Linked DNA regions of Nothobranchius furzeri. The protein of the gene in region 6 purifies or fractionates together with the protein of the main gene of each other region. This does not show direct contact. Links are inferred from orthologs where the notes say so. Each region holds a gene or a part of one and is shown on either strand. Other genes may lie near its edges.

Evidence for each region.
Region 1: the proteins of nfkb1 (region 6) and nfkbie purify together in Homo sapiens (affinity purification with mass spectrometry; 4 studies listed by BioGRID and IntAct, with this or other methods). This does not show direct contact. The link is inferred for Nothobranchius furzeri from reciprocal best matches to the Homo sapiens genes NFKB1 and NFKBIE.
Region 2: the proteins of nfkb1 (region 6) and copb2 purify together in Homo sapiens (affinity purification with mass spectrometry; 5 studies listed by BioGRID and IntAct, with this or other methods). This does not show direct contact. The link is inferred for Nothobranchius furzeri from reciprocal best matches to the Homo sapiens genes NFKB1 and COPB2.
Region 3: the proteins of nfkb1 (region 6) and lrpprc purify together in Homo sapiens (affinity purification with mass spectrometry; 3 studies listed by BioGRID and IntAct, with this or other methods). This does not show direct contact. The link is inferred for Nothobranchius furzeri from reciprocal best matches to the Homo sapiens genes NFKB1 and LRPPRC.
Region 4: the proteins of nfkb1 (region 6) and E3 ubiquitin-protein ligase RNF123 purify together in Homo sapiens (affinity purification with western blotting; 4 studies listed by BioGRID). This does not show direct contact. The link is inferred for Nothobranchius furzeri from reciprocal best matches to the Homo sapiens genes NFKB1 and RNF123.
Region 5: the proteins of nfkb1 (region 6) and aurka purify together in Homo sapiens (affinity purification with mass spectrometry; 4 studies listed by BioGRID and IntAct, counting the BioPlex papers as one, with this or other methods). This does not show direct contact. The link is inferred for Nothobranchius furzeri from reciprocal best matches to the Homo sapiens genes NFKB1 and AURKA.
Region 7: the proteins of nfkb1 (region 6) and ikbkg purify together in Homo sapiens (affinity purification with mass spectrometry; 4 studies listed by BioGRID and IntAct, with this or other methods). This does not show direct contact. The link is inferred for Nothobranchius furzeri from reciprocal best matches to the Homo sapiens genes NFKB1 and IKBKG.

The regions. Positions count from the first base shown.
Region 1 is NC_091742.1:8,385,258-8,389,532, reverse strand, and holds the start of nfkbie (NF-kappa-B inhibitor epsilon), read right to left. Parts: upstream 2,801-4,275; 5' UTR 2,595-2,800; coding exon 2,278-2,594; intron 45-2,277; coding exon 1-44. UniProt on the Homo sapiens protein: Sequesters NF-kappa-B transcription factor complexes in the cytoplasm, thereby inhibiting their activity. Sequestered complexes include NFKB1-RELA (p50-p65) and NFKB1-REL (p50-c-Rel) complexes.
Region 2 is NC_091751.1:58,291,829-58,296,097, forward strand, and holds the end of copb2 (coatomer subunit beta'), read right to left. Parts: coding exon 4,199-4,269; intron 4,104-4,198; coding exon 4,015-4,103; intron 3,933-4,014; coding exon 3,826-3,932; intron 3,714-3,825; coding exon 3,570-3,713; intron 3,366-3,569; coding exon 3,235-3,365; intron 3,060-3,234; coding exon 2,852-3,059; intron 2,739-2,851; coding exon 2,628-2,738; intron 2,524-2,627; coding exon 2,309-2,523; intron 2,226-2,308; coding exon 2,087-2,225; intron 2,003-2,086; coding exon 1,865-2,002; intron 1,368-1,864; coding exon 1,290-1,367; intron 1,132-1,289; coding exon 982-1,131; intron 894-981; coding exon 798-893; 3' UTR 501-797; downstream 1-500. UniProt on the Homo sapiens protein: The coatomer is a cytosolic protein complex that binds to dilysine motifs and reversibly associates with Golgi non-clathrin-coated vesicles, which further mediate biosynthetic protein transport from the ER, via the Golgi up to the trans Golgi network.
Region 3 is NC_091752.1:25,410,348-25,413,847, forward strand, and holds part of lrpprc (leucine-rich PPR motif-containing protein, mitochondrial), read right to left. Parts: intron 1,856-3,500; coding exon 1,728-1,855; intron 1,600-1,727; coding exon 1,484-1,599; intron 1-1,483. UniProt on the Homo sapiens protein: May play a role in RNA metabolism in both nuclei and mitochondria. In the nucleus binds to HNRPA1-associated poly(A) mRNAs and is part of nmRNP complexes at late stages of mRNA maturation which are possibly associated with nuclear mRNA export.
Region 4 is NC_091743.1:77,259,113-77,262,612, reverse strand, and holds part of E3 ubiquitin-protein ligase RNF123, read right to left. Parts: coding exon 3,464-3,500; intron 3,091-3,463; coding exon 3,005-3,090; intron 2,749-3,004; coding exon 2,662-2,748; intron 2,575-2,661; coding exon 2,507-2,574; intron 2,078-2,506; coding exon 1,952-2,077; intron 387-1,951; coding exon 272-386; intron 144-271; coding exon 39-143; intron 1-38. UniProt on the Homo sapiens protein: Catalytic subunit of the KPC complex that acts as E3 ubiquitin-protein ligase. Promotes the ubiquitination and proteasome-mediated degradation of CDKN1B which is the cyclin-dependent kinase inhibitor at the G0-G1 transition of the cell cycle.
Region 5 is NC_091743.1:61,016,285-61,020,528, reverse strand, and holds the start of aurka (aurora kinase A), read right to left. Parts: upstream 2,801-4,244; 5' UTR 2,724-2,800; intron 2,677-2,723; exon of another isoform or gene 2,475-2,676; intron 2,226-2,474; 5' UTR 2,223-2,225; coding exon 2,160-2,222; intron 1,464-2,159; coding exon 1,154-1,463; intron 1,072-1,153; coding exon 1,035-1,071; intron 944-1,034; coding exon 752-943; intron 643-751; coding exon 504-642; intron 401-503; coding exon 252-400; intron 100-251; coding exon 1-99. UniProt on the Homo sapiens protein: Mitotic serine/threonine kinase that contributes to the regulation of cell cycle progression.
Region 6 is NC_091741.1:65,318,963-65,322,462, forward strand, and holds part of nfkb1 (nuclear factor NF-kappa-B p105 subunit), read right to left. Parts: intron 2,830-3,500; coding exon 2,678-2,829; intron 2,225-2,677; coding exon 2,061-2,224; intron 823-2,060; coding exon 664-822; intron 1-663.
Region 7 is NC_091755.1:44,541,826-44,546,075, reverse strand, and holds the start of ikbkg (NF-kappa-B essential modulator), read right to left. Parts: upstream 2,801-4,250; 5' UTR 2,776-2,800; intron 2,603-2,775; exon of another isoform or gene 2,278-2,602; intron 943-2,277; 5' UTR 941-942; coding exon 802-940; intron 1-801. Other genes in the region: tmed4 (transmembrane emp24 domain-containing protein 4), read left to right, coding at 2,889-3,078, 3,705-3,805, 3,879-4,004. UniProt on the Homo sapiens protein: Regulatory subunit of the IKK core complex which phosphorylates inhibitors of NF-kappa-B thus leading to the dissociation of the inhibitor/NF-kappa-B complex and ultimately the degradation of the inhibitor.

The DNA.
Region 1 (4,275 bases), on a different chromosome or scaffold from region 6:
GAGCCACCTGTGTGTCCTCGTGGATGATCGCAAGGTGCAGGATTCTACAGAAGAGATCAAAAACGATTACTTCGATCCTTTTTATCCTCGAGAACCCTGCAGCTCTGGGTATTCTCATGTTGAGCAAGAACTGCACCGTAACTGTAGGTGGGTAGCAAAAGTTGACGCTTCAACGAAAAAGCATCGTATCACTTTTTTCCTCAGTACTCATCTCAAAAGAGGGCCTCAGAGTGTAACTTTTAGTGGGCTGCACGGCAAAACTGAGCAGCAGGGGTGGTGTGCAACACACAAAACTAGAAAAGACCTCATATTAGTGCTAAAAATCACCTTCAACCAGACGCTGGATGAAGTGAACAACAAGGCGAAACAACAACACAAAAACCTCAAGAGGCTGCGTGGGAAGTGGTAGCAAACGAATGCAAAAGCAGGAAATGGAACCAAGCTTTGGTGCTTAATTTAAACTAGCTTAGAAGAAAGCAGCGCAGGCTTCGGCTGATTTCAACACATTCAAATCGAGCTGTGAACATCCATGTGCAACATTCAAGACGGCTACAGAGCTGCTTGTAGCAGCCGTAGTGGATGAGCTCAGAGGCTGTTTAACCGCAGCGTGCTCTCGTTTCAGAATAAATGTCACAGAACTAAAACCTGCTTCAGACAGCAGTGGGATCAAAAGGAGACGCAAAATCTCACGGTGCAGACGTTCATTTAGATTTCTACTCTCAACGTCTAAACTAAACGGAAAAAAGACATTTAAGGTGGATAAAATAAAATGCATGATAATAATGGTGGTTGGATACAATTACTCTGCAGAAACTGACAGGTTAGCACAAAGACTAATACATTTCAAAAATGAAAAATGTCAGAGAAAAGTTTTCACAACTGCAGACAACTGAAGCACATTTCTGCAGGTTTTTTCCTGAATTTAGCTAAAACCAGTACAAATAGCATTTGCATCATCTGTCATATACCTTTGAAATGTGAGCTTTTCCTCTAAAAACATGAATCGTTTTGCAGAATGTTAACATTTAAATGTAAAAAGAAGCAGACAAATTAGCTCAAATTCATCTTTGCACAAACAAAATGAATAAAAGGAAGAATCTTTAAAAAAAATGCTTGAAAGCGGATCAAGAAAATGCCATAATCAAACCTCTTGATGTTTTTGGCAGATGTGTCTGTGTGAAGTTCGTCCCAAACGTCTGCAGGCTAACATCATTCAACCCTGTAAGCATGATTTGAGTTTGAGCGGGACTTCCAGGTCTGGGTAAATCTTGAATGAATGACTTTTTAAAAAAATTCCCACAGGGGAAAGTGAGTGTTTGCATAGTTCTCTCTGTTAGCGTTTCAGGTGTTTTTTCCCCCTTCCCCAGCAGGTATCTATTGTTAGGGTGTGAGAATGAAACCATATGGCTCTGACAGTCAGCGAGCGGAAATTAAAAGAGGTCAGAGACTAAAGCGACATTTCCGCAATCCTGTGACTACATCACAGTGGTTGTAGATTTCATTACTAAGCCTGCTTTATTGTTAAAACACACACGGATGGCCCCAGATGAGTGGGTCACACTAGAAGCCCTGCAAAGGCTGAAGAAGCTGCATGCGGAGGTGTGGATCGTTTGAAGAAAAAGGTGCAGTTTCACTGAGTCAAGAGGAGGAATGAGCAGCAGAAAAAAAAGAGCATTTGATGCATGAGAGTTAAAAATAAAACAAATAGCTTCTGAATTGTAGGAGAGAATAATGCACGCAGATGCTGTTGTGTCCTGATCAACCAGTTTCGTTGATGTACCTCGCAGACATGTGCTTTGTGATGCAGGCAGGGGGAAGTCCAGGCCTATCTGTTTCACTTCTGGTTTCTGACTGTTCACATTCATGGCATGGACAAAGTTCAACAATAGAAAAAAACTCTGCATGTTCATGATATGAAATCCCCTTCAACACCAGCAGTAACTTTGGAAAATAAGGCCTCATTCATAGAAATTCGCACATGGGTGGAAACTTAATATTTTGGGGGAGATTTTCTAATCTGACTCTAAAAACAGCTGATTGTGTTCATTTATCACGTGATTTATACTTAAGACTCATTGTCCTGAAATGGAAACAGTTCTTGATTTAATCAGGAGATAGAGGATCTTTAGGTGCAGCTCTGATTTATTTCTACCAGATGCTGCAGATTAACTTCCAGGAAGCGAGCTGGAGGATGGTTGGATAATTAAACCACTTTGACAGAATTTGTAAACAGAGAAATTATTTAAACTAATTGCTAATTAAAAAAGAAAAACGTACGTGTCTCCATCGTCTGTAATAGTTGTGAGTAAGTCTTCTTGTTCAGACAGTTCACAGATCTGTTCCTGCTGCTCTTCGGCGGTGGACAAAGTGCAACCCTCCACCATCGGTGGCAGACTCTCCACCGTGATGGACGAAGATCCGTAGGCTGAGTCCAAGCGCTCGTCCGGGGAGAAAAGCTTGTCCCTCGGCCCGCCGAAGTCGGTACTCGGCTCCCGGGAATCCTCCGGCTTCACAATGGAGCGGTACGAGTCAATCCCCGAGTCCGTGCGGGTGTCCTCCAGAAAATCGTCCTTACTACAGTCGTGGCTCGTCATGATGGTGGTGGCCCTTTCTGGGTTTCCCCTACCCGCCCTTCCCCGATTAATAACGGCTTTCAGCGGCGGCTGTCGTGGCTGCTTCCTCGGCGGTGTGACCGGACAGCCTGTTAGCGCACGAGAAAACCACCGCTTCTTTGTGAGACCAGATAAATGAGCCGCTCCGTCTCATGCCAATAACCGACCACACGTTCCCTCGCAGTAACGAGCCGTCGGTCTTTATCGGTTCTCTGTTTTGTAGAGAAAAAACGTTTCAAACCATGTCGGTTTCTCCCAAACTCCCCAGTTAAAGCAAAACTGGTTTAAAAACAAAAGCAGACGGCTAACAGTCGGGGAGATATCCGGTGGCAGCGAGCTCCAGGCGGAGAGCATACGAGCAATGAAAGGCGATAATGGGAAGAGCTGACATCTGAAAGCCAGAGCTGTTTTTGTCACGCGGGGGAATCCCCAGTGCGCGCGAAGGAACCGAACACACACAAGCGCGCGCGAGCGCACACACGCACAGTTCAACAGAGAACGTAAAGAACGTGCTTACGGCGGAAATGCGGGATTTTCAAAATTAAAGCATAGGACAATAGTTATATGTCGAAGGGCAATCGAGGTTTTGGCCAATCTTTGTCCCGAACATTCCTTAAAGTAATGACGTGCACGGTTAGAAATAACTGTCAAGTTGGATCTGTTTATTTACAATTAACTGGCTCTGAAGAGAAATTAAAAAATATATTCAAAAAACCTGTTTTGTTTGTTTCAGATACAATAATCCAAATGAAGACAAGTCTCAAAGTCTTAAAATATCAACTGTCGTTTTTAATTAAACAATACTGATTATTTTTCTTATGCATAATTATTTTTAGGGCAAACTTGTTGCAGTTGAATCTGCTGGTTTTATTTATGTTTAAGTCAACTCTTTCTGGACTTCAGTTTGATTCATGGTAATTTCCAGCAGTGCACATTCTCTAGATGTCAGTTTTACTTTTAAAGTAAACTCCAGGGTAGCAGCAAAACCACATATATTATTCAAGTTTCTTATTTTCACAAGAAGCTGCCAAAGCAATGACTGTTTATATAAATTACATCATGCTGAAAGTGACTAAAATAAAGATAAATCAATCAATCAATCAATCAAATTTATTTATAAAGCGCTTTTCAAACAAAGTGCAATTCAAAGTGCTTTACAAAATGACCCCAGATTCCCATAACAGGTTAAAAACAATAACAGACATATGCACGCACACGCACACACACACACGCACACACACACGTAAAAATTATATTTGGCTGAGCCCAGATGAGCCAAGTATGAGCCAAGTATGGTAACGCAAGGAAACGCCATCAGAGGAGCCATCTGTCCCAGAAGCATCAGGTCTTCCACACTAAGTCAGGGCGCTTAGAAATGTCTTTTTTTTTTACTTCACTTTGCTCTTGGAGAAGCCTACAATGAACTCCACAGTATTCATATAGGATGTTTTTATATTTTTTAAACACATTTTATGATTTATTTGTGTGCTTTGGCCTTCAGAGGGCTCACTTACACAGTATGTGCTGCTATTGTGAGTCAGATTAAAATAAATACAATCTATAAAATGAAAGTCCCTTCCAAAGAGACATCTTTATTACTGCCATCTGTTTTAGTGTGATCTACTGTTATGTTAGCTCACTCCACATTCTGCCAACAGTCCAG
Region 2 (4,269 bases), on a different chromosome or scaffold from region 6:
GTGGGGATTGTCAGTTTTTCTCCTTTCAAGACAACTGGAGGGACATAACTACTGTTTACCATCAGTGAGTGTGGGGTTGCTATGTCTCTCGTGAGCCAATACTGCAGCGTTAACAATTGCAATTTGGCGGCGGCCGGAATAATAAAGCTCCAGTTGTTTAAAGTGATTGCTGTAACCAAATTTTACCACAGGATGTCATTTTTAACCTCATTTATACATAATGCACCTGTAAGACCACTTGGGTCACAACCATCTTTGATTGACCTCTGACCTTCTAATATACAAAACATTGTAAAAGAAAAACTCATTTCCAGCTTTTTTGCAGTTGTTTACCAAATAGTCACAGATTGTAACGTGCCTTGAGATGACTCTTGTTTTGGCGTTGGAAAAATAAACTGAATTTAATGAATTCTAAAATCGTTTTCAATATATTGCGGGAATAATGTTTGAAAACTCAGCTATAGAAACTCCTGAGGTCACATTTTAATATGTACAGCAAGCAACCACAATTGATTTTATTGAATGAACTTTGATTTGCCATTACAGACAACACAAAGCACAGAGACAAAAAGTAAATAATATTAACTGGTGGAGTTTTCCCACTGGAGAGATAGTGTACAAAATGGAGTAAATACAATCTGTTATTTCTGAATTTAAAACTTTACTGATGAAGATCTGAGGCTGCAGTGAGTAGACATGACAATAGAACATTTTTCATACAAATACAAAAAAGGGGAAAGGAATTGGTCTCATTTAAATCTGCTCTGAAAGTGTCAGAGAGCAAAGGGATGGCAGGTTCAATCATCTAGAAAGTCATCATCAAGGTTAACATCTGTGGTGTCAATGTCATCCAGCTCCATGTTGTCCAGGTCTACCTCCAGCTCATCCAGAGTCTGCAGACACACACCAACCAAGGACACACCATGATTTCACCATTTCATCATTGAGTTGTACAAAATACAGTAAATATTAACAACTTACCTTATCCTTCTGTGACTGAGAGAATGAAGGGATTTCTACCTCCTCCTCCTCTTTTTCCTCTTTCTCTACCATCTTGGGAGCAGCAGGTTCGGGCTGTGAAGGAGTCACTAGTGAAACCGGCGCCGAGCTGGACTCTTCACTCTCTTTCATCTGCAAAAAGAAGTTATAAATGATTAAAAGTTTCATCTTTTAGCCAAACTTCTGCTAAATCGGTATTTTGAATATTATTGAAGGTGCTGTGCAATAAGAACAGGTGTGAGAGGCAATCATTTAGTGTTAAAGGTGACTTAAAGCTACTGCGGACAAACCTTTGGGACATGAGGAACGAAGGTGCCTTGGGGCTCGTACCCCTGAGCCTCCTCTAGAATATTCCTGTCTTCATTGGGCTGAAAATGTGAAATAATAATATAAAAAAAAGTTAAAATAGTTACAGTATTTAGGATTGGCTGGTGCTTTCTTCTAAAAATAAAATTTACTTAAAGAGCAAGTCACCTCCAAATCAACTTTATTTTGCTGACAAACTACATAAATGAGTATCTAATCATGCTGAAGACACATGTAGTCAATAATTTGGCACTTGAGTGCATCTTAGTTCAAATTTAAATATTCTGTCTAAAACTGTCAGTGTTGTGCCCTCTTCAGGTAAAAACTCTGCACTGCATTTCAATTCAAATCTGCCATCGCTTTTGGCTAAGAGGTACACTATGATGTTAGCTGGGACATTATGATGTCACAATGACCTTGTGAACCTGTGTGTGTATTTGTTAGCAGCTCCGCCCTCTCGGTCTGCCAGGCAACAGCATTTGTTGCATTTTTCAAACAGGAAGTGGGAGTGGTGTAAGACTGGTAGGGGGTGACTTGCTCTTTAAGAGGTCAAACTTACTGTAACAAGAGGATAATCTTTAGCAGGTCTGGAGCTGCCCAAGCAGCTTTCCCTCAGGTAATATTCAGCTGCAAACGCTTCTTTCAGCCCAGGGAACAGATTCTCGTACTCGGTAGGGTCGGCTAATGAATCAGCTGCCTGCAACAGAGGCTTGGTTAAAGCGTCCAAACTACTTTTCTCTTTGCAAATCATATAATCAAAGATCTTGATGCCAGATCTGACCTTCTGGTTGACTTTGGCTAAATTCTCCCTCCACAATTTGACTACACGCGACACCTGGCTGGGCAGGTATGTGCGAGCCAGGAAGGCAGCTTCTGGAAGTCTGTTAGTCCTGATCAGAAGCTCCAAACATTGGTCCAATCTAGAGAAGAATATGTACGTACATGATCCAGAATCTTCTTATAATTACTGCACACCATGTTTGTCACCACATCAAATACTCACTTCCCCTGAAGAAAGTAGGTCATGAAGGCCACGTTGTTCTTGCCGTCTCTTTCTGCCCCTTCGGCCAGCTTGCCCACCATGGTGGCATTACCAGAAGCTGTGGCGAGGAGCAGCAGGCCACCGTAATCCTGAGCGTGGTGCAGGCACTCCTGGGCCAGGCCGAACTGGCACTTACTGATGGCCAGCTCTGCAAGCTGCTTCCATTTTTGCTCCGACTGCAGAGAAACACATTTTGTTAGCAGTGATGACATGAGTCACAAATACAAAAAGTGTTTGGAAAAGTAACGAGAAAACGACGTGAGGAGACAAAAGCTCTAACCTCTGCTTCGACAGCCAGCTGGTAGGCGATCTTCAGCTCTCCCAGCTGCAGGGCCAACTCAAATCTGTGCTCCGGGTCTGTAGACACCGCCAGAGCCTGCTGCTTGAAGCCCTGACGAGACAAATAAAACCATCAGTGTCAAATTAAAACCACATCTGTTCATTGATGAGGAGCAAAATAAATAAAAAATTAAATAATTGCAGGTCTTTATGGGTTTTCATCACCTGTTTCTCCAGGAAATGAGCCACTCTGGTCCTCTGCTCTTTAGGAATAGTTGGTAGCACCTTGTCTGCCATTCCAAAGTCCCTTCTCATTACAGCAGTCTGGTATTCCAGGACAGAGACCAACAGTGAATAACTGACTATGTTGAGCTCCTTGTCTCCGAGGTACAGCCGGTCATCCTTTGGTATGTAACCCAGCAGGTACATGGTTCTGCAAGGACAATAAAAACTGTGGATGGAACTACGCACCAGTGTTTAGTGTTACTTCTTTATCTAGGTGTGACTGTCCGTTTATCGACGCTGAACTGCTTTTTTCTGATAAATGTAAATGTAGTGCTTGCATGGTCTTATCCTATATAAGTAAGGCCTAAACAACCTGTTCTTACCTGTCCAGATGTGCAATAGTCACAATTTCTCCTCCTACAAAGTAATTGAGTCTGTTCACAGAGCTGGTGTAGATAAAGCAGTCTCCCACCCAAAGTCCAGTCTTCACAATCTCCTGGATCTCCCCCTGGACCTGAGGATAGGACATTCATACAAAAGGTTAGCAAATAATACACGCAAAAGACACACCAGTACGGCTCAGTAACTGTCAGTTTAAAACAGCTCCCTCTAGTTTATTAGGAACGTGCTACAAACACTGCAAAGAGACACAGCTGCCAGGTGAACAATGCGTTAAAAATACGGGCTTCCCGCAACGGGCATTCATCTACACACTGACCTCAAAGGCATCTTCAATCCCGTCCTCTGTCACACCTTCGTTGTTTTCTTGGGAGGCGGCTACTTTCTCTGCCAGGTAACGTAGAATGAAGAAGGACTCCTCCGTAGCAATGCAGACCAATTCCCCCGAGTCTGACCAAAAGATCTGAACAAGCCAAAAAAAAAAAAAAAGAAAAGAAAAATCAGACTAAAACATTTAAAGCGTGATTCAAATAGAGTATCATGTATGTAAAAGGACAAGGTAACTCAAGTCTTACATGCTTGGGCTGGATCTCAATGCGACGGATCAGCTCTGTGTTCTCCCAGTCGTAAAACGCCAGTCCGTTCACCGACCTAACTCCCAGCAAGAACCCCCCGTAGATCCCTGCAGAGCAGAAATGCAGATCCAGTGAATAAAACGACCGTCTTCAATCTGGAAATCTAGCCAACGGCACTCGTCTGATTACCTTCTGCTCCAAAATCTGGCTTAAAAGATTTCTTTTCTTTGAAGTTTTTGAAGATTTTGACAACACTGTTGCTCTCTCTGATGGCGTATCTGTTAAAGGAAGACAAACAGCAAATGTTAAACAACAGTGACTCAAAATCACCACCCAGAAGGATGATAAAAACATCTTTTCCGTGTGGACGTACTCGGAGGAGTCGTGTGCCCAGACAAACTCTTGAGCTGAGCCGAAGCTCTTGTTCCTCAAAGCCATGGCAGT
Region 3 (3,500 bases), on a different chromosome or scaffold from region 6:
AAAACAAACCAGGTCCGGCTGTAAAACTCAAACTTTATAAAAGACAAACAGAACAGATATGGAGCTAAAATCTGATGTGGTTGCAGGTGAGTCGTCAGCTGACTGAGAAAGATTTTGTGATTGTTTTAACTGAAAATAGCTTTGAGATCTTAGTTGGAAGACTTGCAAGAAATGCGTCCTTCAAGGGATGCTTATTATTACTGATTAGGTGTCTTATTTTCCAGAGGAGTTATTGTTGGACATTTTTACCCCCAAAACTCTGCATCAGTTTAGCACGTCCATGTTAACTCTTCAACTCCCAAATTGCTTTCAACTCTGACGAATAAACAGCAAGAATGAGTCACGTTTTACTAAATCAATGCGTTTAAGTCAATGTTTCTAAAGCTTTGGTTTTAAAGAGACAGTAATGATGCACGGATGCCTCAGATTACATCAAAGATGAATAGTACATAAAAATGTTGAATAGTTTATGAACGTAATGAGTAAAAACCTTAGAAAATGATTCCTCATCTCCCACTGACCCGCTGAGTGCACCTTCTGCTGTAGCTTTAAAATCCTCCAACCTTTTTTGGTGTTTAAATAATAATAAAGATGGGAGTAGTGAGTAATGTATCCGTTCATTAACATGCATGTTAGTCAGACATCCCAGCATGTTGACTTCCTGTGCGATTAGTTATTGTGGAAATCGACCCAACTGGTTCACAGAAGGAGATATTTTTTGTATTTCTCTCAAAGTAATTTAGAAACTCATCAGCTGATTGTCGGTTTAAACAAAAATGCTGCACCAGATTCTAAATTGTTGCAGCATGGGCCTTTAGCTTTGACATCAGATATGTGGTTTCTGGTAAGACACCAGCTGATGATGAGGAAGTTGCTACGGAAACGGAAGCACTAAGAGTCAGGAGGAAGTCAAGTCATCATCATCATCATCTGTGCAACCTCCTCTTCCTCCCTTTTAACTGCTACGTATTCATGTCCCAGGGATCAGTGAGAAGTCACCGAGCTGTAATGAATGAACTATGATGAATAAGTGAAGTCTCAGACAGCCAGGTTAATACCGCCGGGCTCAGCGGGTGAAATGTGGCTGAAGCTGGATGAATGTCAGCTTCATGTTGCTGTTTAAAAAGTTTTCACTTGTAGGACGGTCTGATAGATGACATGAGCTGCACAAAAACATCCATGATTACTAACAAAAGATGCACAAAACGTGAAGTAATGCAGGGATCTGCACACAAATGCATCCCCTCCTTAACCCTGTGCAGAAAGCCAGTTTCCTTCAATGATTGTTGATTTGTTTTTGATCATCATAACAACAAAATACAACAAATGTCCTGGCTGCATGGAGCATTTAACCTTTATGTGGACTGAAACTATTCTGAAAGTCATACACACTCAAAGTATCTGAAATTTGAAATCTCAACAGGAAATCAGTGATGTTTCACATGTAAAGCACCCCCCTTCCCTTCCCCCACCAGATACTCACAGCCAGCACGAGTCTGGCGTCCTCCACTTTGTCCATGTTCAGCAGCTGGAGGAAGAGATCCGTGGACGGTCTGTAGCAGGAGAAGTGGTTGGCTAGCCGCTCTGCCATAGCACTCACTGCAACAGTACAAACACACACGGGTCGGTTTCCATCTCACACCGCCGGACTCCAAAGCTGAAACCGTCCCATCTGCATGTGGATCATGGGCATTTCTTTTGAACACCTGCCGGTTTGTGTGTCTTACGCTTGTCCAGAGCTTTGTCGTTGCCAGATTCCAGGACTTTCCTGAAGACAAATGATATACTTGGGTTTGAGCTGTCTGGTCTCGTGTAGATGTCTTCCAACAACTCCACCGCTGCGTTCAAATCACCACTGAGGAGGAATGGGGTCGGAAAATTAGAGGAGCAACTACTGTTTGGTTTTACTTAAAAAAAAGGTTGTGTGCAAGTTGAACACTCATTTATTACGGACTACATAAAAAATGTCCAACGTGGCTGTGTTTGAGTTTGTTACTACAAGAAAAAGTTGCTCCGAATGTTGTTTTCTTCGTCTTCGTCTTCCTCCGCTTATCCGGGTCCGGGTCGCGGGGGCAGCATCCCAATTAGGGAGCTCCAGGCCGTCCTCTCCCCGGCCTTGTCCACCAGCTCCTCCGGCAGGACCCCAAGGCGTTCCCGGACCAGATTGGAGATGTAACCTCTCCAACGTGTCCTGGGTCGACCCGGGGGCCTTCTGCCGGCAGGACATGCCCGAAACACCTCCCCGGGGAGGCGTCCAGGAGGCATCCTGACCAGATGCCCAAACCACCTCAACTGGCTCCTTTCGATCCGGAGGAGCAGCGGTTCTACTCCGAGTCCCTCCCGAATGTCCGAGCTCCTCACCCTATCTCTAAGGCTGAGCCCGGCCACCCTACGGAGGAAACTCATTTCGGCCGCTTGTATCCGCGATCTCGTTCTTTCGGTCATTACCCAAAGCTCATGACCATAGGTGAGGATTGGGACGTAGATCGACCGGTAAATCGAGAGCCTGGCTTTCTGGCTCAGCTCCCTCTTCCCCACGACAGATCGGCTCAGCGTCCGCATCACTGCAGACGCCGAACCAATCCGCCTGTCGATCTCCCGATCCCTCCTACCCTCACTCGTGAACAAGACCCCGAGATACTTAAACTCCTCCACTTGAGGTAGGACCTCTCCCCCGACCCGGAGGTGGCAAGCCACCCTTTTCCGGTCGAGAACCATGGTCTCAGATTTGGAGGTGCTGATCCTCATCCCAGCCGCTTCACATTCGGCCGCGAACCTACCCAGCAAGAGCTGAAGGTCAGAGCTGGATGAAGCTAGGAGGACCACATCATCCGCAAAAAGCAGAGACGAGATTCTCCTGCCACCAAACTCAACACACTCCACACCACGGCTGCGTCTAGAAATTCTGTCCATAAAAGTGATGAACAGAACCGGTGACAAAGGGCAGCCCTGGCGGAGTCCAACCCTCACTGGGAACAGGTCCGACTTACTACCGGCTATGCGGACCAAACTCACGCTCCTCTGGTAAAGGGACTGAATGGCCCTTAACAGAAAGCCACCCACCCCATACTCCTGGAGCGTCCCCCACAGGGTGCCCCTGGGGACACGGTCATAAGCCTTCTCCAAATCCACAAAGCACATGTGGATTGGTTGGGCAAACTCCCATGCCCCCTCCATCACCCTTGCAAGGGTATAGAGCTGGTCCACAGTTCCACGGCCAGGACGAAAACCACATTGCTCCTCCTCTATCTGAGATTCAACTATCGATCGGACCCTCCTCTCCAGTACCTTGGCGTAGACCTTTCCAGGGAGGCTGAGGAGTGTGATCCCCCTATAGTTGGAACACACCCTCAGGTCACCCTTCTTAAAGATGGGGACCACCACCCCGGTCTGCCACTCCCTAGGAACTGCCCTCGATGACCACGCAATGTTGTAGAGACGTGTCAACCATGACAGCCCTACAACATCCATAGCCTTGAGATACCCAGGACGAACCTCAT
Region 4 (3,500 bases), on a different chromosome or scaffold from region 6:
TCACTCAGACATAACTAAACGAACACGACTGCTCTCACCATGAGAGGAGCAAAGTGGTTGAAGATGTGAGCAACAGTCACGAGGACCGTTGGATCTCCATGAAGCTTCCAAACAGCACAGTCCTTCTCCACCAGCTTCTCCTCCTGCAGACACACACACACACACACACACACACACACACACACACACACACACACACACACACACACACACACACTTAGATTACTGAGACACAAACTTCACAGTCAGGTACCAGAACAGGGTGAGTCACCTCAGTGTCGATGGAAGTGGACAGGACGTTCTTGATGTAACCCAGAAGTTTGTGAGCCTTCATCAGGTCTGCAGTGGGGGGGTCCTGGAGGGGCAGGTACCCTTCCACGGGGTACGTGAGTCACAGCCATGTCAAAGACCAACACCAGGTATTCAGGTATTCATGTGTCTGCACTTCCAGCAGAAGGATCACCACCCAACATCAAGATGAGTTCACTGAAACTCTGAATTTCTTTCTGAACCTTGTTCTGCGTTTCCAGGCTGAGCAGGAAGACGAATGTTCTGTTGGTTATTTTAGCTTTTTGTTTGTTATAGAACCCAGAACCAGAACCCAGCTATGTTGCTGTAAATGTTGGTTTGATTCAACACTTGCTTCTTCTGCAGCTTGAAGTCAACCAATAAGCTGCTGGAAATAACATTCATAATCGGTAAATAACTTGCGTGTGTGTTAGGGCTGTCGCGGTAACCGCAAAAATGAAATATCGCAATATGAAGAAGCCCACCGCGCTGCATCATGGGCCACCGCGATTACTGAACTTGGTTCAACTCAATGATGCATGTTGAGAAGGATGGCTGCACTGGTATCAACACGAAACGTTACTTTGCTCCTTTGGGAGCACTTTGGTTTTCAGTACGTCAGCTGCTGCGCAGCCAGAGTCCTTGGCCGAGACAGAGCTGCCACCAGCGGCAAAAAAATAATAATAAACGCTCGGAGACCTGCTGAAGTCCCGGACAAGCACTGCTTCTGCAACCGTCCCGAAGAGAGTTTGAGCCGAGCTGGAGCTCACTCGCTACCTGCAGGAGGAATGCATCCACCCTAAAGAAACCCCCCTGACACGGTGGAGCAACAAGCGGGAGAGATTCCCTTTGCTCGCCAGAGTCGCACACAGGTACGTGTGCGTTAGTGCAACGAGCGCACCATCCGAGAGGGTTTTCAGTGTTGCTGGAAATGTTGCCACCCCTCTCAGATCCTCTCTCAAACCGTGTATGGTTAACATGCTTGGTTTTCCTTGTAGGTAACAAGGACGTGACCGAGCTATAAATCACCGTCATTCGTGTGTGTGTGAAAGTGAAATGATAGTGCGCCCGCCCCCCGGCGCGCGCGCGCCCGGTACATGTAATTTTTATGCTTGATTTTAAACAACTAAACAAAATGGGGACTTGTTTCTTATTTGTTAGATGCTGCAGCCAAATTTGCATTTAAAAGTTTAATCTCCTGAATTTTGTTGTTTTTAAGTTCAGTCGGACTCCGACTTTCGGAGAAACAAACGTTACTGCGATCTGTGTTGTTACTGCCCTTTGATCTGCATTCAGTAAAGTGTTATAAAAGAAGGCACGGCAATTTTTCACCTTTTTTAAATGTGTAAACATTATGTTTAGATAGTACTGCAATAAAAAAAGGGCTGCAATAATATCGCACACCGCAATATTAAGCCACCCTGAATCACCGCAGGGGGAATTCCTCAACCGCGACAGCCCTAGTGTGCGTGTGTGTGTGTGTGTGTGTGTGTGTGTGTGTGTGTGTGTGTGTGTGTGAGTGAGTGAGTGAGTGAGTGAGTGAGTGAGTGAGTGAGTGAGTGAGTGAGTGAGTGAGTGAGTGAGTGAGTGAGTGAGTGAGTGAGTGAGTGAGTGAGTGATCAGCTGAGCCTCATCCGGTCTGAGCCCTGAGCAGGAAGGATATCGGAGCGGTCTGCTGCCAAAGTTAAAAGCCACCGACTCTTTGAAGGAGAGGCTGATGGCGGGAAAGTAGGCGACGCCGGGACCCATCTTTATGTTGGTGAAGGCCGTGCCCAGAGACTGGCCGTTCCTACACGTGGAGCAAAGACCTGGATCAGGAGTCAGGTTTTACACCATGTACAGACGAAGCACCAATGCATGATGGGACAACAGAACCAGAGTAAATATCTGAGACACTGACCACAAACTCTGGTCTTTATTATTAAACTGGTACGTTTGAGTCGTCTCTCCTTGGTTCTGTTCGACGTTTCCACATGAACAAGTTAAAACTGAGTCTTAACAACACGTCTCTTCTCACTGTGACTAAACGCTGCACAGAACTGAGATGACGTTTTTAATTGGAACAAAATCTAAGTTTTCAAATTAAATGTTAGAAAAATAAATTTCTGGAAGCACAGCTTAGCCCAGCTCCAGTTGCTCTTAGTTAGCTTAGCATAAACACTGAAAACAGGTGGAAACTATTAGCCTGCCTCTTTCCACTGCTCTCATGTGGACTTACAGGCAGAATGTGATGGTTCCTTCGTCTAGATCGATCAGACAGCTCACAATGTCTCCAGCTGCCCACGACTGCACAAAACACACAACATGCATCAGTATTTAACTTGATCTCAGTGTCACACACACATACATGCGCGCATGCAGTCTAGGACTCACCTTTCCATAGTTCGTGGTGGTTACGTTCCACTTCCTCACTCTGTTCCCATCGTAAGCGTATGAGTCTGGAGTGTCACCGACTCCCTCCTGGACCAGAACATGATTGTGATTCTGCAGCAAACCGACTCGAACACGCCAGGTCTGACTCAACATCAAACTTCAAATTTTAACAGGTAACTAATGTGTGTGACTCTCAGCAAACCTGACAGATGTTTCATCTAATAAGGTATCAGGTGTGTGTGTGTGTATGAATGGATGTATGTGTATGCATGTATTTATGTGTGTGTATGCATGTATTTATGTGTGTGTGTGTGTGTGTGTGTGTGTGTGTGTGTGTGCGCACCTCCTGATTGAAGCGACAGTTGAGGGTACACCAGCCGATTTGCATCAGACCCTGAGAGGAGATCAGAACCTCGTAGGCCCATTTCCCTGCAGACACAGAACCTCTGGTTAGGTCCAAACCTCTAGCTAACAGTTGTCCTAGGGCTGGGCAATAAATCGAAAATTAATCGTTATCAAAATTTCTGGCTCTTATCGACAAAAATTTTCCCATGTCAGTAAATTTGATAATTAAAAAACTTCTGTTTAGGTTTTCTTTTCAAACAGAACTGAAGGTTTAATAACAGGAGACTGATCTGATTGAACGGCAACCAGCTGGCCCATCTCCTGACCTGTTTTCTGTGTGTGTGTGTGTGTGTGTGTGTGTGTGTGTGTGTGTGCGTGCGTGCGTGCGTGCGTGCGTGCGTGTATACAGTCTGGTTTTGTACCTGCAGGGGAAACTCTGAACATCGCTCTCATTTACCTTTATAAACACACGTGGTGGCTCTGATGGAGCTGAA
Region 5 (4,244 bases), on a different chromosome or scaffold from region 6:
AGGACCCCCAGGCTCCAAAGGTCCACCTTTTCATCATGGGTTTTGCCTTCAATCATTTCTGGGGGCAAGTAGTCAAGTGTTCCACACAGAGTGGACCTTCTGCAGGGGTAAAAACATTTCTAAAATAGGACTTTATTATGCAAGGACAGAAAAGATCGTCACACAAAGAAAAACCAGACAACGATCCTCAACATCAGCAGACCAGAGCCCATAAAACACAGTAAGAAGTTGCATTAAACACATCTGCGTACCTGGATGAAGGGGTGTGAACAGACCAGCCAAAGTCAGCGATCTTCAGCTCCCCGTTGCCTCCCAGGAGCAAATTCTCTGGTTTGATGTCTCTGTGGATCACATTCTTGATGTGGCAATAGTGGAGAGCATCTGCCAGCTCCATAATGTACTAATAACACAAAAGAAAAAACAGTAAGTGGAATTAAGAGTACACCTTCAATAAACCTGTGGAATGTTGACTGTGTTTGAAGTTTGAAGTGTTTTTAACTTACTGTTGCACTCCTGTCTTCTGGGAAACTTCCACACTTCTGCAGCTCGCCGTACAGCTCTCCCTTAGGTGCAAACTCAAGGATGAGATACACACGGGTCGCATCATGGAAGTAGCCATAGAGACGAAGGATGTTCGGATGCCTGTATGAAACCCATGCAGGAGAGAATTCTGTGAAACTGTCTTAAAGGAACTCAAGACAGAGGATAAAGTTTAGATTGGTGTTTTATTGTAATTTTCACATCACATCACCTGAGATGAGACTGAATCTCCACCTCTCTCCTCAGCTGGTGTTCCACCCCAGCCTTCTCAAGCTGGTTCTTGAAGAGCACCTTCAGGGCCAAGATGAATTTAGTCTGACGCTCCCTCGCCAAGTAGACGTTCCCAAACTTGCCCTTCCCCAAGGGACGGCCGATATCGAAGTTTTCCAGGCACCACCGCGTTCTGCATTTACACAGCAGTACAGAGTTAGAAATCCTATTCTGATCTGTTGAATTATTGCACAAATAGAATGTAGAATGTGCACTTGACGTACTTTGATGGGGCCACCTGATTAGTCTTGGCAGGTTTGTCTTAAAAAAAAAAAAAAAAAGGATATTTTAGTGTCTACAACAAACACTTGCTTATTCTTGTTTATTTTAGAAATGTGCATACTCTGTGGCTTTGCCTGCTTTGCAGGATCAGAGGGAGGCTTGGCACTGGGTACATGGGTCGTCGGCTGGTTTTGCTGGGAAACAGGCTTTGGTTGTGGTGGATTTGAACATGGTGTAGCAGGGTTTGCATTCTGGTCAGCAGGCTGTTTTGACTTAACAACAGAGACCTGAGACACTGGTTTCTGATGACTGACTGGCCGCTGAACGCGCTGGGGACCATTGGACACACCGAGGACTCGTGGCTGAGTTGGTGTGACAACGGCCTTTGAGTTATGCGATACAGGAACACGCCTCGGCCCGTCACCACTGGACTGCAATCACAAGAGGTCATTAACTATTAGAATCAGATTTACAGCAATTTTACACAAAGTGATGAATGAAAAAATAAGTAGTAGGTCTAGAAATATGTAGTTTTAAAAGATATTTCATACTTCTCTACCAACATTCTGGTTTGGATGTAGATCCAATGACAACTTTTAAGTGTTTCATTAAATTCCCTCCAGTGGTCCATGAAACGTTTTTGCAAGTTAAGTAAGCGAAGATGTTCAGCGTTATAGTGGTGCAAGATTGGGAATTTGGGATTACTCAGACTGTCGCACCAAAATTGAAGACCATGTATGTAAAAAAATGTCTGAGCTAGTCATTTCTGTGATTGCTAATCTTGATTAGCTGTGGCAGCCATCTTGAATCAAGAGTTAAGTTAGTCAATCCAATGATTATTTCCCAAGTTTAGCTGTGAACTACCCAATGACTCGTGAGATATTCCAATAACACTAGAGACCAATCAACACACAAGCCAACAATAACAGAACATTTTGCCATCAATAATACAAGATTGAATGACTGACTTTTCTTTGTACATTACTTCTAATTAATATTTGCCCACATATGCTTGTGTAAGGCACTACGTTGCTAAATTTAAGTTTAACCCAGAGCCTCAAGATCAACATGAGATTTACGTGTCAACACCTGGCTGACTGTTTTATATTAAACTAGACTTGCTTTACCTTTACAACAGGCCTTGGAGGTTTCACGAGCCCTGCAACCTTCAGCGTGGTGGAAGAGTCCATAGTCTGAGAAGACATCAGGTATAACTCAAACATGACTAAACTCCACCACTACTAAAATAAAACTCTCGTGGCAGCTTTCTTCAAAATAATAGTGACAAAATGTAAAAGTAACCCCCAGCATCCACTCTGGCACGGTCATTCAAACGTATAAAGAGAACAGCTTCGCGTTAGCCTAGCCTAGCATAGCTGCTAGTATGTCAAGTCGTCTGACACAACTGCTGGTAATAAAGACAGGTTAGTTTAACTACTCACCTAAATAGTATTGCACGATAACCAAATGAGCAGCAACTAGTTGATTGACCCTAAATGAAAGCAGCCCCCGAGCAGGTAACCCTTTACCCAGGCTTGCTAGCAGCTACATCGATCGGTTGAACAGGTAATGTCGATGTCTTCTAATTACATGTAAGGCAAACAGCAGTAATCAAACAATGTAGCAATATCCGTGTCGTAAACTATGGTTTGAAATTAGCTAACAAATTTTAGTCACGCAAAAGTGCGTACTCTGAGGAAAAATGCTTGTCCGGAGGACACTTTCCTTAATCGCAGCCTGTTTAATTTCAAACGTCCCTCTGTTCAAAACCTTTAAAGAAACAAACGGCTTTCATTGGTTGAATGAATGCTCTAAATTCGCCTTCCATTGGCTGTTATGATATGAAAAAAAAACGGAAACAGGATGACGTAAAAAGAATCATTCCAACCGGTAGGGGGCAGTAGAGGAATGGTTGAATATGGAGTCCAGGAAAAAGTGCTCCTGAAAATATCAAATTTATACCTTTAGCAGTCCACGTTTGACCAATTTCCCAATTGTTTACAAATTTCTGATACATGTGTGCACTTCACACATTTTTCATTTTATTTTTAAATAATCGAATTTTGTATTGATAAGTGGAGAGGAAAAGCTTTTTTTACAGTATGGTATTTGATGAATAAAAATCTTGAAAAGATAATAAGAACTAACATTTGACAAAGCAATACCACTGGACACTGTTTTTCACATAGAATTGACATTTTATTGCCACATCATGCACTCGTGCACTTTCCACAGACATCTATGCAAGCTACCTTTAACGTAGAATGTGTCCTAAAATTTTACAATCAAGAAACTAACATTGCACTTCTTAAAACAGTTTTACAAAATAAATATATTAAATGTTACAAATGCATACAATAAAAAAGTAGTGCAGCCACTTGAAGACCCTCTCAAATGCACTTTGTAACCATTCGAGAATTTAGATCAGCCTCCACAACATGTGCAGCAGAGCTTTGATACTAAAATGTGTCACTGCAAAGGCCTCAAGATGAAGGTAAACAGACAGGATCTAGTGTGGAAGCTGATAAACTGGTCAAGTTCCTGTTGGACACATTAATGTCCACATTACAATGGCGCAACACTTGAGAAGGTCTTCTAATTAAATATAAATATGGCAAAAACATTGATCCCTTCCATTGAAATAAAATAACTAAGTTATAACAGAGTACAGTCAGAACCAAGTTGCTTGTTACAGAGAGGCGTTACATGAATGCGGTCCCACAGGAAAAAACTTGAGATGTTTTTCAAACATAAACAGACATAACTGTTAAACTTTGAATCCTCATATTTTAGGTCTCACCTTAGCTAATCAAACCGCACTTCTTACATTTATAATTGACACAAATTGCATTTGAAATCTGCTGACAAAAATATTTCTGCCATCTTAGTTTATTTGCAAACCCCTCCACAAATCTGGTTTTCTTCATACTATTTTCTACCAGATGAAACATTGTTGACATTCTGAGGTTGTTACAAAATAAAAAGCACATCTGGCAAAGGTGTGTGCGACAATCTGGCTAAAACGCTGCATCTGCTTTGGCACTTGTTCTCCTTTCCAGTTCCACCAGGTGCCTCTGAAGTCTTCTTGCCAATCCAAACATACAATGGCGGAGGTATTTAAACCGGTCCCTGAGTGTGCTGCTCGATCTTCTCAATCATCATCATCGTCCAGATTTGAAAATATTTCTCAGGACCTCTTCATGCTGCGGTCT
Region 6 (3,500 bases):
TTTTGAGGATTTTTAGCATAATGTTATCTTTAGCATTGCTGTTGCCTTTAGTGTACTTGTTTTTATTGTTGTTAAGCAGTTTGATCAGCTTTTATGCTAACTACTATATAAATAAAGCTGACTTAACTCAACAAACTCAACTGTTAGGGGTGACAGGAAACCAGAGACCCTGGAGCAAACACGGGGAGAACACAAATATCACAGAGAGGCCCAGTCAGGATTAGAACCTGCCACCCTGTTCCTGTGAGTCTACAATGTGAACCGCTGCACTTTCATGCAGCCCAACATCCAGAGCAGGATTTTAATTTTGCTCTGACACAAATCTGGTGGGATCCATGATGGTTAGTTGTGATTTCAGCATTCCACGGTTCAGAACTTGATTTCAGTCCCCGGAACAAAGAATAAATGAAAGGAAGTTAACGGGGCTATAAAAGCGATTTTCTATCCCGCTTTGCCGTTCACCCTGAATCACACATATGTTGTACTTTAAATGATAAATATTCCTGTGTTTTGATTATGTCCATCACTTACTTAGAGATTTATGAGCTTGTAAAAATTCATAATTAAAATAACAAATCAGACGTTGTGCCCCCCCGTCCCCCCGAGACCTCCGCCTATGAGTAAGACTGGTCCATTTCTGTGTTCCTGTGCAATTGGACTCACTGCTGTCGTAGATTGGTTCTGACACCACCGGCTCGAGCCGCCTGGAGAAGCCTCCATCGCTGTCGGGGAGGAAGGCGGTGAACATGAGCCGAACCACGCTGAGGTCCATCTCTTTGGCCTGATTGGCTGCTGCTATGCTGATGATGTTGCGCTGGTGGTCTGAGATGTAAAACACAAAATACACAAGTTGAAAAGTGAAGCTTTGATCGCTTCATTTTTATCGGTTCTTATCTTGAGTTTTGATTGATCATTTTTTCAAATTTCTTTTAAAGTTTCAGTTGTCGTCGTCGTCGTCTTCCTCCGCTTATCCGGGTCCGGGTCGCGGGGGCAGCATCCCAACTAGGGAGCTCCAGACCGTCCTCTCCCCGGCCACCTCCACCAGCTCTTCCGGCAGGACCCCAAGGCGTTCCCGGACCAGATTGGAGATGTAACCTCTCCAACGTGTCCTGGGTCGACCCGGGGGCCTCCTGCCGGCAGGATATGCCCGAAACACCTCCCCAGGGAGGCGTCCAGGAGGCATCCTGACCAGATGCCCAAACCACCTCAACTGACTCCTTTCGATCCGGAGGAGCAGCAGTTCTACCCAGAGTCCCTCCCGAATGTCCGCGCTCCTCACCCTATCTCTAAGGCTGAGTTTGAGTTATTCTCTACAATTTCTAATCTTTTGTCCTCAGTTTTAGAAAACTTCTGAAATAAAAAAAAATAAAAAATCTCAAATTTGAAAAATATTAACTGTGAAAATAAAATTAAAAACGATGAATGTGTTTAGAAAATAAAAATAAATGTCTATCCAGTCAAGTAAGACCAAGTACACACTTTGATCCAACACATTGTTGTGATCTCTAGTACAAATGAATGCCTTGTGAGTCAATCTCTGTAGGAAAAAGCTCTAGAACTAAAAGTGAGCCAGAGCAGAGGAGCGCTTCAGATGACGTTGGACGGTTTGGAGTCTTATTTCATGATATTAGAAGATCTCGCTTCCAATTGGCTAACAGCAATGCAACTCTACCACCGACTCCATTTATTCTGCAAAGTTGATGTTTTATCTCCACAAATAACACAAACCTGAAGGAGTTCTGCTGTGTGGTAGGGTAGCTAATGCTAACGGTTAGCTTCTACAAGCAGAGACGTGCTCTGCTGTTTCCTGGAAATTCCCCGTCGCGAGCCAAAATGGGTGAGCTAATGAATGCATTAGCAGATCAGCTGATCGGAGCACTGATCTGAGTGACGCTCAACAAAAGCAAAAGTAATTGGATGAAACATCAACCTTATTTTGAGCTTTATGATGTTGTTAAGGTGGACCTTAAACTGATGATGACGATGATGATGATGATAATTCTCTGTATTTAAAGAAGATGAAGCACTCTGACTGGTAGAGGCAGGTACCAGCGACTGACCTGAGAGTTCTCGTGGGATTCGGACCTCCCCCTGCAGCACGTCGATCTCAGGGTGGATGGCGACCCCACAGCTGTACCCCATCCTGAAGGCTTCCACCATCCTCTCCTCCAAAGTCTTTGCCACGTTCTTCTTGGTCACATGGAGGATCCCCAGGTTGGGAAAACTAACAGAAACAAAAGTTACTGTCAGCACAGAACTGAAGGTGTGTTCAGTTCTTACTCTATTTTAGAATCAAGAAAACAGATCAGCATTTACTGTCAGACAGGTCAAATAAAGTTACATCGACTCGTTGATATCTTACCTCCATACAAATTACAAGCCAAAAGAAAACATTTTTTTCATTCTTTGTTTTAATATTTGAAAGAAAAAAAAACTGAAGATGTTAGGAGCTCTCACCCATGGCTTGTTAGAACACAGATCTGTTGTCTGTCTGAACTGCTGTGACTCGTTCTACTTTCCCCTCTCCTCATTCTGGACATTTCTTAAAAAGTCACTGATTTCCTGCAGCATTAGTTTCTTTGTCTGACTGAACAAAGAGTTCCTGATCATTTTAATCTGCTCGGCTCTTCAAGTCTTACAACAGAGAAGCTTCAGGTTGTGTGTGGGTGATGCAGACCTGATGCTGGAGTCTTTGGACTGCATTTCTGCGATGCAGATGCCTTTGTCACACAGTTTCCCCACCAGGCTGTGAGCATGAAGCTGAGGCATGGGGGTCAGAGCCGTCACCAGCTGGACCACCACCCGGGCCTTACCCTGGTAATTACAGATCTGAAACACCAACACAACCACAGAAACATTGTGATAAACACCCAGAGGATCTAAAGGAGGTGAGATCTGTCAGATGAAGGTTTTTTGAGTCCTTCTGAGTTCTACAGATGAGTCACAAACACTTCAGACCTTTTCTCTGCTGCGGTTCACGGAAACTTTCTCCTGGGACAGATGACTCACCACTGCATCTCATCGCCACTAACATCAGAGATCAGCTATAGAATTAACCAGTCAGCCCACATGTTACACAAAAGTGAGATAAATCAGCTTTGAGTGTTCGGTGAGATAGAAGAGCCTTATCGCGCTCTCAGAGATCACATGATGGTTTTCTGTTCAACGTGTGGATATCAGTCAGAGAAGAAGGATCATGATATGATGCGATACGCCAACACCGATAATATCCCAGTAAGGCAGTTTGTAACAACAAATCATCAAACTGTCCTAAAATATTACATTTAATTCTCAGGTTTTTTGAACCTCACCAAACATCTGCAGCATTTCTCCCATTGTTTGTGCTTGTTGTCATTTAGATTTTATAAAAGATGTAGATTCTAGTTCTCAGGGCCGTTACCAACTTCTGATTCCTCAGAGCTCTGCCCATCTAGGCTTTGATCGATTCTGACTGATGTCTAACGACTATAATTAACGAAAAGAGAAAAGAGGCAAGAGAG
Region 7 (4,250 bases), on a different chromosome or scaffold from region 6:
CAGTGCGCCCCAGGGCAGCTGTGGCTACATCGTAGCTCATCACCACCAGTGTGTGAATGTGTGGGTGACTGATCCGTGTTGAGGAGTAGCTACTCCTGTGATCAGCTGACCTGAGCGAACGAGCGGGCGTGTAGCGATGCAGTAGCTCAGACAGATAGGGAGGGGCCGGGCCATTTAAGCCCTTAAAAGCAAATAAAATCATTTTAAAATCAATCCTAAAATGAACAAGCAGCCAGTGCAGGGAGGCTAAAATGAGGGAAAACCTTTGATTGCCACTTAAAAGGCGAGCTGCAGCACTCAGAACCCTCTGAAGCTGAGCAAGGCAGGATTCACTGACTCCTACCTCAAATGCCAACATACTATTCTGATAGGAAGTGGGTGGTTGATTGTGTCGAGGCTGCTGAGAGGGCTAGTAGAACCAAAACCGCTGCCGATTTAGCATCAGCAGCTAAAGAAATGTTGCTACGGACAGCTAGAAGAGCAGATTCAGAGCTGTGCCGACAACAAGAAGCAGACTGAAAAACTCAAGGATTGGATTGTCATCTAGGAAAGTCTGGAACTGCATAAAAGCAGCATGTGTTGATCCTGATAAACTCAGCCTGTCGTGGACACCGCTCCTGCATCCAATCACCGTTACAGTAAAGGCTGAAATTACTGTTTGAATTTACTTTGTTCTTTTACCTCGATAACTCTAAACTTAAACGACTTCTGAAAATGCTAAATCAGACACACGGAAACCTAAAAGCCCCGCTGAGCATCTGGTAATACACACAAGCGTGACCGTCGTGTGTTTTTAGGTACCTCGAAGCTGCTGGTTGTCACACAACAATCTGGTCACCACTTCATTACCAGCGAACTCTGGTGGGACCCTGAGGACCCCCCCGCAGTCCTCTCCTGACATGTCCCACTGCATCGGACCATCAGGCTGCGGCTGCACCATTCCTGCAGAAGCAAAGGCTGGGAATTACAGAGATCTAATCCATTCACTTCTTCATATGAAGAACTCAGACTCTGGCGGTTCCTGAACCTGTTTCCTGGTTTCCTTTGGAGACTTGTTACACTTTTAGCTCATTTTTTAATAACGTCTAAAATCCAGCCTTCGTGGCATTTATTTAAACGGGCATTGGAGAAACTTTTTTGTTAGTCAAATTAAAACATATTGTGTACGTTGGTAAGAAAGACTAAAAAACCTGTTACCATCAACACTGCAGGTCAGTTCAAACCAGCAGAGGCAGGAACAGTTTGTTTCACCACCAACAGAAAATCATCCCAGAAACTGCAGAGTTCAGTCACTTCTTTACTGCTTTATGACGTCACACCTGTAGTGAGTGAATCTCACCACTGTGGGATTAATAAAGTCTATTCTATTCCTTTTTTTATGTTATTGTGGTCGCTCCGATTGTCATCTAATGCAACAACAGACAAAACAGCAACTTTTGCTGCTTCTGTAGCTCTAGTAAGAAAAAAGTTTCCCCTGGTTCGCTAACTACTTCCTTACTTATAAATATGGTTTCCAATAATCTACACATTGAAGTCAGAAGTAAATTAGAAAAAAGAACAATCAAGCAATTATCTGAGTCTACAGCCGATCGCTTTCAAATGCACAAAAATATCAGAAATACAAATGGTTCTAATTCTAGTTATCACCATGTTCTTATTGTTAAATTCACATTACTATAACATACCAAATGGCTCATAAAGATGAAAAAACAGGAAGTCACAAGGATCTCCTGCATGTATATTTTTCCCTTGTATGAATATTGTCCTTGTTCAATTAAAATTGTTATTATTTGAGAGACAGCAGGCTCAAATCGTGGCTGTGCTGTTTGATTTTAAAATAAGAAGTACATAAATATGTGATTAAAAGAAAAATAAAATGAAAAACGATCCTAAAAGCCACCATGGAACAAGTGAACATTTCAGGTGTAAGTAAGACCTGAGCATGACGTCTAGGGGGACTGGACACGTTTCAGCCCCGTTGGGGATCTGGAAACGTGAAACTTTCACTTTCAGTTTAAATGTGAATTAACTGTGTTTAATATGACCGGTTTGTGTCACGGCTCATTGGCGAGGTGCCAGAAGCCCTTCTGAACAGTTACACCTGAGAACAGGTGGTCATCAACCTCTTCTTATGGGACCTCAGCCTTGTCATTGTCATAAAAGTAAGATCAGGTGTCTGCTATGAAGAACATCACGATAACCTCAGCAAAGCTCACGTTAAATACTGTTTAGACAACATAGCTAACACACAGCTAACAGACACAAAACTTGTCTTACCTTTTTAAATTTTATGTCGTAAACAACAATTATCCAGTCTCAGACTCACAAACTACTCCCTTCACCGAGTTTAAAAGAGCAATCTGACTCAAACAGCTGAGATACAGCTAATTAGCTCAGTAAGCTAATATAGCACAACAACGGCTGGGCAAACGGACGCCTTTGGTTTCACATAAACACGGACCTACATCAACGGATCATGTGGCCTTCCTAAAGCATGTGTCCAGTTTTGAATCCTTTCCTTCGTGAGTTTAAGACTACCAGAGGTAAATCAGAGGCAAACCAAAGGTAAGCTGTCAGCTTTTCGACTGTTATTAGCGTGGAAAAATCGTGATATATCACCCTCAGTTTAGCCTTGTAGGCAGAACACCCGTGACTCGAACATCGAAAAACGTGTCGTTTATTTTAAGACGTTTAATTAACACAAATGAACAATAAAAAAGTTGACAAATTACAAGTGTGTGATCAAATCGAAATGGCTGTGAATTTAAATAATACCAGTGGCACATCGTATCTTTAAGCGCTGCAGAGGAAAACTCTCCTGTCAGTATTAACCCAGGGTGTAAACACTCCGTTCTCAGGAAAGCCCCTTCCTTGTTCCGTAGTGGAAGATGACGTCAGTGCGCTGCAGCATTTTGATGTCCGCTAACGTGAAGGAGGTGAAGATGCTCCCCATCTCTGCCGCAGCGGTTTCTCTTCTGGTGGCCTGGATTTACCCCAGCGGCGCGCTTTATTTCCACATCGGAGAGACGGAGAAAAAATGCTTCATTGAAGAAATTCCAGACGAGACGATGGTGATCGGTGAGCCGGTTAGCTTAACGCAGCTAACTAGCCGTCTTGCTAACAGCTGGTTGTTTAAAGATGCAGCAGATGACACCAATAGTTGTTTATTATTATTATTATTATTATTATTATTAGAGACTCGAGTCAGACAGGAAATTCTGGAGGCTTCAGCTGCGGGTTGTTCACCACTGAGGAGAAATAACGTTTAAATATCTGAAAATTCAGATCATTTAAGGGAAACATTCAACTTTTGGCCATTGATCTTTAGCTTGTTGTTTATTATCAATAAAATAAACATTTTCCTGTTTACGAAGGTATTTCCATCAAACCTAAACAAAAGATCTGTCAAATATCAAAATGAATACACAATCTTTTAAATGCAAAGAGGAGATGGGGTATAAATGTGAATGTTTATTAAATATTTCATTCATTGCTGGGATGATTTTATGAGATAAATACTATTATTACATCCATGTGTCCAATATTCCGTCCTAACACAGGACAGCAGATGTTAAGCTGGTTTATTACTGGCATCCAATTTGTGGATGATCGTGTGTGTGTGTGTGTGTGTGTGTGTGTGTGTGTGTGTGTGTGTGTGTGTGTGTGTGTGTGTGTGTGTGTGTGTGTGTGTGTGTGTGTGACAGGAAAGTACCGGACTCAGCTGTGGGACAAACAAACCACTTCCTTCCTCCCATCCACCCCCGGCCTTGGCATGCATGTAGAGATCAAGGATCCAGACACGAAGGTAAAGCCAGACAGGAAGGTCTGGAGGTTCAGAGCAGAGGTGTAAGTCTGAAGGTGTCTCCTCCACGTTCCAGATCATCCTCTCTCGTCAGTACGGCTCTGACGGACGCTTCACCTTCACCTCTCACACTCCTGGAGAGCATCAGATCTGTTTGCACTCCAACTCCACAAAGATGGCTCTGTTTGCAGGAGGAAAGCTGGTACGGAGACCAGGACCATGGCTTGACTTTTAACGGTTTCACTTTTCCACAGGTTGGGTTAAAAAAACCAAAGTAAATATTGTTTCAGTGTAGAAGTGACACATAAACCTGTCAAAAAAGTGAACGAGTAATAGAAGCAGGGACAAAAACATCAGCAGCAGCTGGAAATGTGTGTGTTCAGTTAGATTTTCCTTAAGAAAGAAGGAATATTTTGGTTTGGTTGCTCCTCCTAAACCGCTGAAGTTT